Danio rerio: one gene and its partners. The protein of the gene in region 1 interacts with the protein of each later gene in a pairwise test. Links are inferred from orthologs where the notes say so. Each region holds a gene or a part of one and is shown on either strand. Other genes may lie near its edges.

What was found.
Region 2: the proteins of htt (region 1) and txndc11 interact in binary tests that used the Homo sapiens proteins (3 or more experiments, as listed by UniProt). The link is inferred for Danio rerio from reciprocal best matches to the Homo sapiens genes HTT and TXNDC11.
Region 3: the proteins of htt (region 1) and dnali1 interact in binary tests that used the Homo sapiens proteins (3 or more experiments, as listed by UniProt). The link is inferred for Danio rerio from reciprocal best matches to the Homo sapiens genes HTT and DNALI1.

The regions. Positions count from the first base shown.
Region 1 is NC_133176.1:44,454,577-44,458,244, forward strand, and holds part of htt (huntingtin), read right to left. Parts: intron 2,701-3,668; coding exon 2,580-2,700; intron 2,466-2,579; coding exon 2,406-2,465; intron 2,078-2,405; coding exon 1,998-2,077; intron 590-1,997; coding exon 451-589; intron 1-450.
Region 2 is NC_133176.1:62,612,989-62,616,709, reverse strand, and holds the start of txndc11 (thioredoxin domain-containing protein 11), read left to right. Parts: upstream 1-880; 5' UTR 881-1,215; coding exon 1,216-1,346; exon of another isoform or gene 1,347-1,592; intron 1,593-1,827; exon of another isoform or gene 1,828-1,862; coding exon of another isoform or gene 1,863-1,976; exon of another isoform or gene 1,977-2,019; intron 2,020-2,365; coding exon 2,366-2,582; intron 2,583-3,659; coding exon 3,660-3,721. UniProt on the Homo sapiens protein: May act as a redox regulator involved in DUOX proteins folding. The interaction with DUOX1 and DUOX2 suggest that it belongs to a multiprotein complex constituting the thyroid H(2)O(2) generating system.
Region 3 is NC_133191.1:37,142,621-37,144,828, reverse strand, and holds the end of dnali1 (axonemal dynein light intermediate polypeptide 1), read left to right. Parts: intron 1-1,221; coding exon 1,222-1,386; intron 1,387-1,439; exon of another isoform or gene 1,440-1,463; coding exon 1,464-1,505; 3' UTR 1,506-1,571; downstream 1,572-2,208. UniProt on the Homo sapiens protein: Involved in sperm flagellum assembly.

The DNA of each region.
Region 1 (3,668 bases):
TCATAACCGTAGCTGGATTTAAAATCATCTAGAATCACAATACTCTAGTCTTAAAAAGTGAATGTGTTCTTGGCAAGAATACAGACTCTTTCCGTCTCTTGATGCGAGGGAGAAGAGGCTCATGGATAATTAAATCCAGCCTGAGTGAGTCATGTTCCATATTGAGGAGATGATGTCACCACTGCGCATTTACGGCTTCAGATCAGACAGTCAAGATAACGGTGAGGGAAATCCCTCACTCAGGTGCCAAATCACAGAATTCAGTAGCAAGGCAATCTTATTTTCATGTCAAATACATAAGGCCATCCAGAATGACTAATGACTTTTGAATCAAGGTACATTTTATTGCAAATCGCCTGATGTGGTCTTCTGAAATGTTTTACTTTGACCAAATTTAAAATAAAGTAAACACATGATAACCTTGGGAAATGCTACTTTTTCAGCTCATACCTTAATCTCTCCATCATTGGCAAAGTGTCCGAGGGCAGCCATGATTTTAGGAATTGAAGAAGAGAGAGTTTCCTGCACAGTCTCTTCTTGACGTTTTGTGATTCGTGTCAAACATGGTAGCAGGTTCACAAGGTACGGCCTGGGAAAGGTGACAATGAGGGTTAGGATTTATTGTGTTTGCTTATCTTTACAATCAAAAGCATGTCACAGCTTAAGATCAGCATGAAACAGAAGTTGCAATGATTTTTTCTTCGCTATAGTGATGTTCTTCAGGAACTGACTTGATCAATGGAAATACAGCAGAATTGAGGCAGATTTGAATATACTCAGTTTACTCTAAAGCGACTTACCTCTGGCACCTTCACATGCTTTATTTTATTATTTATTTTTATTTGAGCCCTATGTTGCTAAAAATTTAAGAGTTCAATTGAAGGAAAATTTATTTAAACCAAACTATTTACCTGCTATGACCAAGATAAAGACAGACAACAAGACCAATGGCACATGAAAGGTAGACATTATAAAGACACATTAATATTTAAAAACATAATCAAGTGCATAGATAAATCATGTAGAATAAACACCACAATATTACATACAAATGGAATTCAACTTTAATCTAAATATGTATTTAAATTCATATACTAGTACAAAATTTGGTTTATTTCCATTTTAATGGAAAAAGTAAAAAATAAATTGCAGCTTTTTTTTTGTGTTAAACAAAATACACATAAAGAGACAGTTCACCCAAAAATGAACATATATTCCCTATCTAATGTTCCTCAAGTGTTCATTGAACACAAAATATAATATTTTATCTAGAAAATATGAAAATAGTAGGGAATAGTTTACTTAGTTTACTTACTGTGGAAGTCAATGGTTACAGGTTTTAGCATTCTTCAAAAAATTTAATTTGTGTTTGTCAGGTGAAAGAAACTCAAACAGGTTTGGAACAAGAAAAAAGTGAGTAAATGATGACAGAATAATCAGTTTTGGGTGACCTATCCCTTTAAGTCTATAAAATCTCTGAACATTTTTTGTTGTAATTACTTTGAATGAATGGGTGCGTTCAACAGAACAATAGTCCAAAACCAAAATACCTCCAAACCAAACCTTTATTTTGACACTCTGAAAATAACAGTTTCTGTTTATATACGTCATGCGTTCTCAAATTAAAATATGAAATACTTATGGAATGAACTCTGTTCTGCAACATCAAATTTAAAAAGTCTTTTCATTGTTTAAATTCAATGCAATTCAATTCAATTCACCTTTGTTTGTATAGCGCTTTCACAATGTAAATTGTGTCAAAGCAGTTTCACATAGAAGATCATAGTAAATTTAAAAGTAACAAGCACTAGTCAAGACTGCAATTTAAGAGTGAAGCCCTACTTTCAATTTATTTATCTTTAATTTGGCAAATTCCACGTTTGCAGTAAACTACATTCCTTTGTTTTGAGCTAGTCCTATGATTGTTCCCACAATGTTCCACAATAATTGGGTCCTGACCAGTCTACTAGAAGTAAGTGACCAAAAGTTGAGCATACCTGCATTTCTGTGGACGCACCAGGTGAGCAAGCTCTGCAAACCTCCACAGGGCTGCCCGCAGACTCCGAGAGGCAGCGTTCTGTTACCACACACACAGTAAAGTGATCCATTAGTGAGCTGTACATTTACTTAAAGAGCACAAGACTCATGTGCCTGTGAAGTTTATAGCATTTCCCCCAAAAAATTTTACTAAAAACAAAAACAATAATCAAACCAATCAAATAATCAAATATTGTTGCAGATAAATCGCAAATTAACAACAAAAGTGCAACAAAAATGTAACTTAAATATAAATCAGCCACACAACGTAATCCTAGAACTCCAGTTCAGTACACTGACATGCATTTACAAAAGAACTCCTAATAAATTAAACATTCATTACAAAAAGTTTATTGAGTCTGATTTACCTTTTTAATCTCTTTATACAGTTCAAGTTGTAGTCTAGGCAAGTTGGAATCCATCAATGCCTGCAAAGATAAACAAAGAAATTATATTACCATTGAACAAAACAAAAAAAAAACACCACTACAATCATCATCCAATTGAATATATGTCAGATATGTAAACTACAAATGAGTTACTTTGATGATTTTGTTGAGGCACTCATCGGCCACCATCCTGACGTCAGACTCTTTGTCATCGCTGCACAGCAAGAACATTTCCATGGCAATTCCAAGAAGTTTCTGGAACTCTGGAGACGTCCTGATAACAAATCAGTGTAATTAAATACATAGCTAACAACACTAGAAGGCTAAAATTATTGGTCACAGCTTCGAAATGAACAGTGAGTCAAAATAAATACATTACAGTATGTTTAGCAATTTAAAATCAGCTATTTTTCTAGGCCCAGAGATCCAGAATATAATTGGAGAAAATAGGGAAAGAATATTCATCTGTTTGTGGTCTTTTCCTCTGTTCATTTTTTTTTTTGCTTGTTTATTTAACAGAGACAATACACTTGACATTGTTTTACAAAGTCAACCGATGTTGTGTACATAGGGAATATAGCATAAAGCTAATTTGCAACCCTCGTCCCTGGTCTAGTACATCTAGTACATCTGTTACAATCACCCCAATTACCCTCAATCAAAAACTGACAGCTACAAGATACAAGCTGCGGCAGAAAAAGGAAATGCTACTTGAAAAACAAGGATGTGGCAGGGCTGCATGGACAGTTATGCCAAAAAGACTAAGACTAATAAAAACAAACCCATCAAGATCACCATAAACTGGATCTATCTTCTCTATGTGTATTCAGGACGTAATCAAGAATTTCAAGAAGAAATAAAACTAAAAGAAATGTTACTGGCTTTTTCATTATTTATCTAGATTTGTTTGTAGTTTATACAGTTGAAGTCAGAATAATTAGCCCCCTTCAAACTGTTTTCTTCTTTTTTAAACATTGTTTTTTTCAAATGATGTTGAACAGAGCAAGGTCATTTTCACAGTATGTCTGATAATATTTTTTCTTCTGGAGAAAGTCTTATTTGTTTTATTTCAGCTAGAATAAAAGCAGTTTTAATTTTTGTAAACACCATTTTAGGGACTAAACTATTAGCCCCTTAAAGCGATATTTTTTCACGATAATCTACAGAACAAACCATCGTTGTACAATAATTTGCCTAATTACCTTAACCTGCCTAGTTAACCTAATTAACCTAATTAAACCT
Region 2 (3,721 bases), about 18 Mb from region 1:
TCTGCGGCTCACGGTGGGAATATTACGGAGACTGTAATTATGAAATCATTTCATATTCACAATACAAATAATTAATTCACACTATGGAAATATAAACGGATCAAGTTATAAATTAAATGTCAACCAATTATTTAAAGAGGTAGCTTCAAAAAGGACTTTTATTTTAATAAAAAATATACAAATAAATTAATAAGTCTATAAATAAATCTAAATTAATATCTTAGATTAATAAATTTTTTTTGATCCTACAAATTCCCTTAAAGTAAAACCATGTTGATTTATGAAATAATATAAAATATTAGAGATTAATAATGGGAGTCTCTGCTTCTGTTTAATGGTCTTAAAAGTATTGGAAATCAGATATCTTTTCCTTTAGAAACACAACAGTAAGCGGTATTTGTGATAACATTTATTCACAGATATCTCTCAACTAGTTCATGATGATTTGAGGCTCGAGTTGTCGGGTCGGATTAGAAAGGTTAAAGCTGTCTGATGCTACAGGAAGCTGAGCTCGAGGCTGAACAGCTCATGGTTTGGGGGATTTGGGGTGTAGTAATGCAGTTTGAGTGACATGTTTAAGAAATAGTTTGACATAAAAAGATTATCTGTGTGAGCGGTTGGAAAAACCCTGTAAAAGTAAATGGATTCAGAATAAAAACACCTTGATAATGAAGATACACTGCGATAACAAACGCCAATGCTACACAATTCATAAACACTAACATTTACATTTAGTATTAGAACTACTAGTTTTTTACTTTGATTTAAAACATTTATTATGACAGCTCGTCACTCATAATGAATCAAGCAATCCATTATGTTGACAATAAATACAAAATAATGGAGAAATCATCTTTGGCGCGGGGTCTCGGTGGGCGTGGCCACGATGCGTCAGGCAGCGTCGCTGTTTTCTCAGAAATAAACCGTCAATCGCGCTCCTCATTCGACCTCAAACACCGAACACGCACAGTAAATGCGCTTTATACATAAAGACATCCTTAACGAAGACCCCCTGAACACTGTACGCATGTTAATCTACTCTTCTGAAGCATTATTGAAATGAACGGCGCGTTATGCGTGTGCAGTTTGTCGACGCTTCCTCAGCCTGTGAGGCGGAAGTGTGACGTGTGTTTAAGCGGTTGGTGCTCAGTTCCACCGCTCCTGTTCAGCTGTGTTCGGTTCACCGGGATGAGCTGCTGTCTGTAGCGGTCGGTGATGCTGCGGCGGGTTCGGGCTGAGCTCCGGCAGGCGGTGAATCAGATGGCGAGAAGACCCGTAAAGATACTGTGCTGCGGTGCCGTACTGCTGACCTGCGCGCTCCTGCTGCCCATAACACTCACCTGCGGGTAAATACACTGATGAATATCAATATTATATCATATACTGCTGATCATAACACACACCTGCGGGTAAATACACTGATGAATATCAATATTATATCATATACTGCTGATCATAACACTCACCTGCTGGTAAATACACTGATGAATATCAATATTATATCATATATTACTGCCCATAACACTCACCTGCTGGTAAATACACTGATGAATATCAATATTATATCATATACTGCTGATCATAACACTCACCTGCTGGTAAATACACTGATGAATATCAATATTATATCATATATTACTGCCCATAACACTCACCTGCGGGTAAATACACTGATGAATATCAATATTATATCATATATTACTGCCCATAACACTCACCTGCGGGTAAATACACTGATGAATATCAATATTATATCATATACTGCTGATCATAACACTCACCTGCTGGTAAATACACTGATGAATATCAATATTATATCATATATTACTGCCCATAACACTCACCTGCGGGTAAATACACTGATGAATATCAATATTATATCATATACTGCTGATCATAACACACACCTGCGGGTAAATACACTGATGAATATCAATATTATATCATATATTACTGCCCATAACACTCACCTGCGGGTAAATACACTGATGAATATCAATATTATATCATATACTGCTGATCATAACACATGATGTAGATGTGAGTCTCAGCATTGATTTCTATAATGTAGATTCTCCAAAACAATGTCTAAATTCTCTCGTGTCTGACATGCCTCGCCCCCTTCTTCTCATTGGCTGTTCGTTTGATGCACTTGTGCTTAACCACTCCCACTGGCCGAGCTATGAGAAAAACTACACGCTATTGGCTGTTTTGTAAGAGGGAGGGGCTTCTTTATGCCCTGCCCCCTCTTCATGTTTCAGTTGAGATTGTCAAACATCAAATGAAAATGCAGATTCCAGAGCTCTCCAGCGGAGCTGTACCTGTCAGTGTGATTATAGTGTACAGTGTGTGTTTGTGCTGTCAGTCGTGTGAAGAGTGTAGTGTCTCCGGCCCGTCCGCCGATGCGGTTCTTCCCCGCGGAGGCACCAGTGCTGGATCTGTTCCTGGGTCAGCTGGAGGAAGCGGATCGGCTGCGGGAGGAAGCGGATGTGTCGGTGCTCTTCTTCTACGCCCCCTGGTGTGCTCACTCCATCACAGCACGGCAACACGTCCAGCAGGTGGCGCTGCGTCTGGCCGACCAGGTGAGTGTGTGCTCTGTTTACATGATTTACACTGACGAGCGTTATGTATATAAAACCAGTTTTAAAATAAAACAATAATAAAATGAAAGGAAAAATAGAAAGAGTTGGACAGATCTATACTCAACTTTCAGATCTATACTCAATATTTAGATCTATACTCAACATCAGATGCATACTCATCATCCAGATCTATACTCAATATTTAGATCTATACTCATTATCCAGATCTATACTCAACAATCAGATCTATACTCATTATCCAGATCTATACTCAATATTCAGATCTATACTCAACTTTCAGATCTATACTCAATATTCAGATCTATACTCATCATCCAGATCTATACTCAACATCAGATCCATACTCATCATCCAGATCTATACTCAATATTTAGATCTATACTCAACATTCAGATCTATACTCAACATTCAGATCTATACTCAACATTCAGATCTATACTCATCATCCAGATCTATACTTATCATCCAGATCCATACTCATCATCCAGATCTATACTCATCATCCAGATCTATACTCAATATTTAGATCTATACTCACTATCCAGATCTATACTCAACATTCAGATCTATACTCAACATCCAGATCTATACTCAACATCCAGATCTATACTCAACATTCAGATCTATACTCAACAATCAGATCTATACTCAACATCCAGATCTATACTCATCATCCAGATCTATACTCATCATCCAGATCTATACTCAATATCCAGATCTATACTCAACATTCAGATCTATACTCATCATCCAGATCTATACTCATCATCCAGATCTATACTCAATATCCAGATCTATACTCAACATTCAGATCTATACTCATCATCCAGATCTATACTCAACAATCAGATCTATACTCAACATTCAGATCTATACTCAACATTCAGATCTATACTCAACATTCAGATCTATACTCAACATTCAGATCTATACTCAACATTCAGATCTATACTCAACATTCACATCTATACTCAATATACAGATATATACTCATAATTCAGATCTATTGATCATCGTATATGATGATGACGATGATGATGATGCGTGTCCTGGCAGGTGCAGTTCCTGGCTGTGAACTGCTGGTGGCATCAGGGCCGCTGCAGGAAGCAGAAGAGCTT
Region 3 (2,208 bases), on another chromosome or scaffold:
TAAAGACTTTTGAGAGCTAAAGTGGCAGTGTGCCGATTTTCTTTTGGTCTTTTGCTACAAAGACTTGGTTTGAACCAATCAGCGTGCTCTATTGTGAACGAGATGCAACTTCATTATTATTGCATATATTGCTTCGGAGACTGTATTTACCAGTTGTAGTGTTCAGAGAAACACCATATTGTGTTGTCAACCATAATTAAAACAAGAAGTAGAATAATTGTTCGCAGACACGGGTCATAAGTGTTGCATTTATAAATGTGCCGCAACAAAGGTTTTGTTTCCATTTCCCCACGATGAGTGCACAGCTCACGTATGGACCTTACAATGGTCTGCTCACATACAACAAAAATAAGTTTGTAAGGAACATTTTTTATCCAAGAGCTTGTCGCATCTGGAATTGGTGAAATCTGGATTTCCACTAGTCTTCTTAAAAAAAAAAAAAAAAGACACTGTTCCAGTTTGTGTTGATTGTCCTGTCTCTACGGATTTGGTAAGTGTGTGATCAAAGTTCTTTGTCTATGTTTCTCCATATTTCCAAGTTAGTTAGTATCGTCAGCAGACAGTACTCTTTCAGATTTTAAAGACATACCTTAGTCAAACTGATTTGGCTTTTTAGTTTACAGTAATATCACTACAATATTATGGATTGAAAATCCTCCACTTTCTCACAGCTGTAGAGATCCGCTGTAAATGCTGCTTTCTGAATCACTGTCTATCTTCCCTGTGTCTGTGTTGCTGATTTGAAAATCAGTTGAACGTAAAGTGTGCATATTGAATCTCCCCTTTTTATGCAAACCTTTCTCTTTCACCACTCGCCACTCCCAGTCAGAGAGGGGTTCATGGCCCCTTAATCAAAAAATACACTCACTCAAAAATAGATATGACTAGAAACCAAAAATCTAGAATTTTCCTTCTTAACTACTAATTTGAAAAGTCAAAATTGACCATATTTTTAGATTTAAATTATGATAAACATGTTCCATGGAAACCAGTTTGATATTTTTCTTTAAACCCTATATAATTTGTAAGTGGGTTATAATTTTCGTTTTAACATCGTCTTTGGACAAAACAAAAAGTCATTGGAGCCTAAAACAACAGTAGCTCCCCTTTAATTTAAATTGATATATTTTACAAATTGTGTGCTTAAAAAGTCATCATCTAAAAAAATCTTCTGAGAAGCACACACAATTTCACCCTTGGTGAGACACAAACGTCTGGTAGATTTCAGAGTTGGAGAGCGAAAAGCGAGACCTGGAGAGGCTGGTGAACGAGCAAAAAGCTAAATGTGATGCAATCGAGAGACGGGAAGCAGAGCGGAGGGACATTGAGGAAAAAAAGCATGCGGAAGAAGTTCAGTTCCTCAAACGAACCAATCAACAACTCAAGGTAAAAAAAAAAAAATAGACTTCTTCAAAGATCACCATTACTTTTCCATACTCTTACGCTTTCATTTGTTTATTTAGGCACAACTGGAGAGCATAATCACCCTGAAGAATAAATCCTAAATATTATTAGAACAATAATACTTCAACTCAAACAAATTCAACAAATAAAAGATTTATACGCTCTGAGAATGTGTTGCTTTTTCACCAGACAATAATGGCACTCAAGTACATGATCCACATTTCAACATTGCTGAATCTGGACGTTGACTTAAGTTAAAAGCTTTTGAAAATGCACAATGCTGAAGAGAATTAGCTGTCAGAGTGCAGTCGTAATGTTTAGGATGATGGTTAGCATCACAGTATGATTAAAGTGCATCACAGATCTGCCAAACCTGCACCTTTACACAAATCACTGTGATTTGACTCCAGATCTTCCGAATCAGCCGCCAACGGGACTCTGGAAAACGGGATGGATGGGACTGGGTATCTGATGATGTGCTCTTATCGCTTGGCTCGATTGGCTTTCTTGCCATCTGAGGGAATTTTTCTGTTCTTATTCTTGTTCTTGACGTTGTGTGTCTCATAATAGCGGACTCCCACTTTCTTCACTTTCTGGGCACGCTCAATTCTCCTTTTCTGTTGGGGTGAAGTTTAACAGAGAGAGAGTCACGTTTGGTCTGTTTTTTTTTTTTTTTTACTGTTTTTTTACTTAAGATATTTGGATGAACTTGTGGAACAGTAAATACCTCTTTAGATGTGAGTTTTGCAGGCTGTGCAGGCTCATCTTCTACAGCTCTCCTCCGTTTGCCTTGTTTTACAGCTA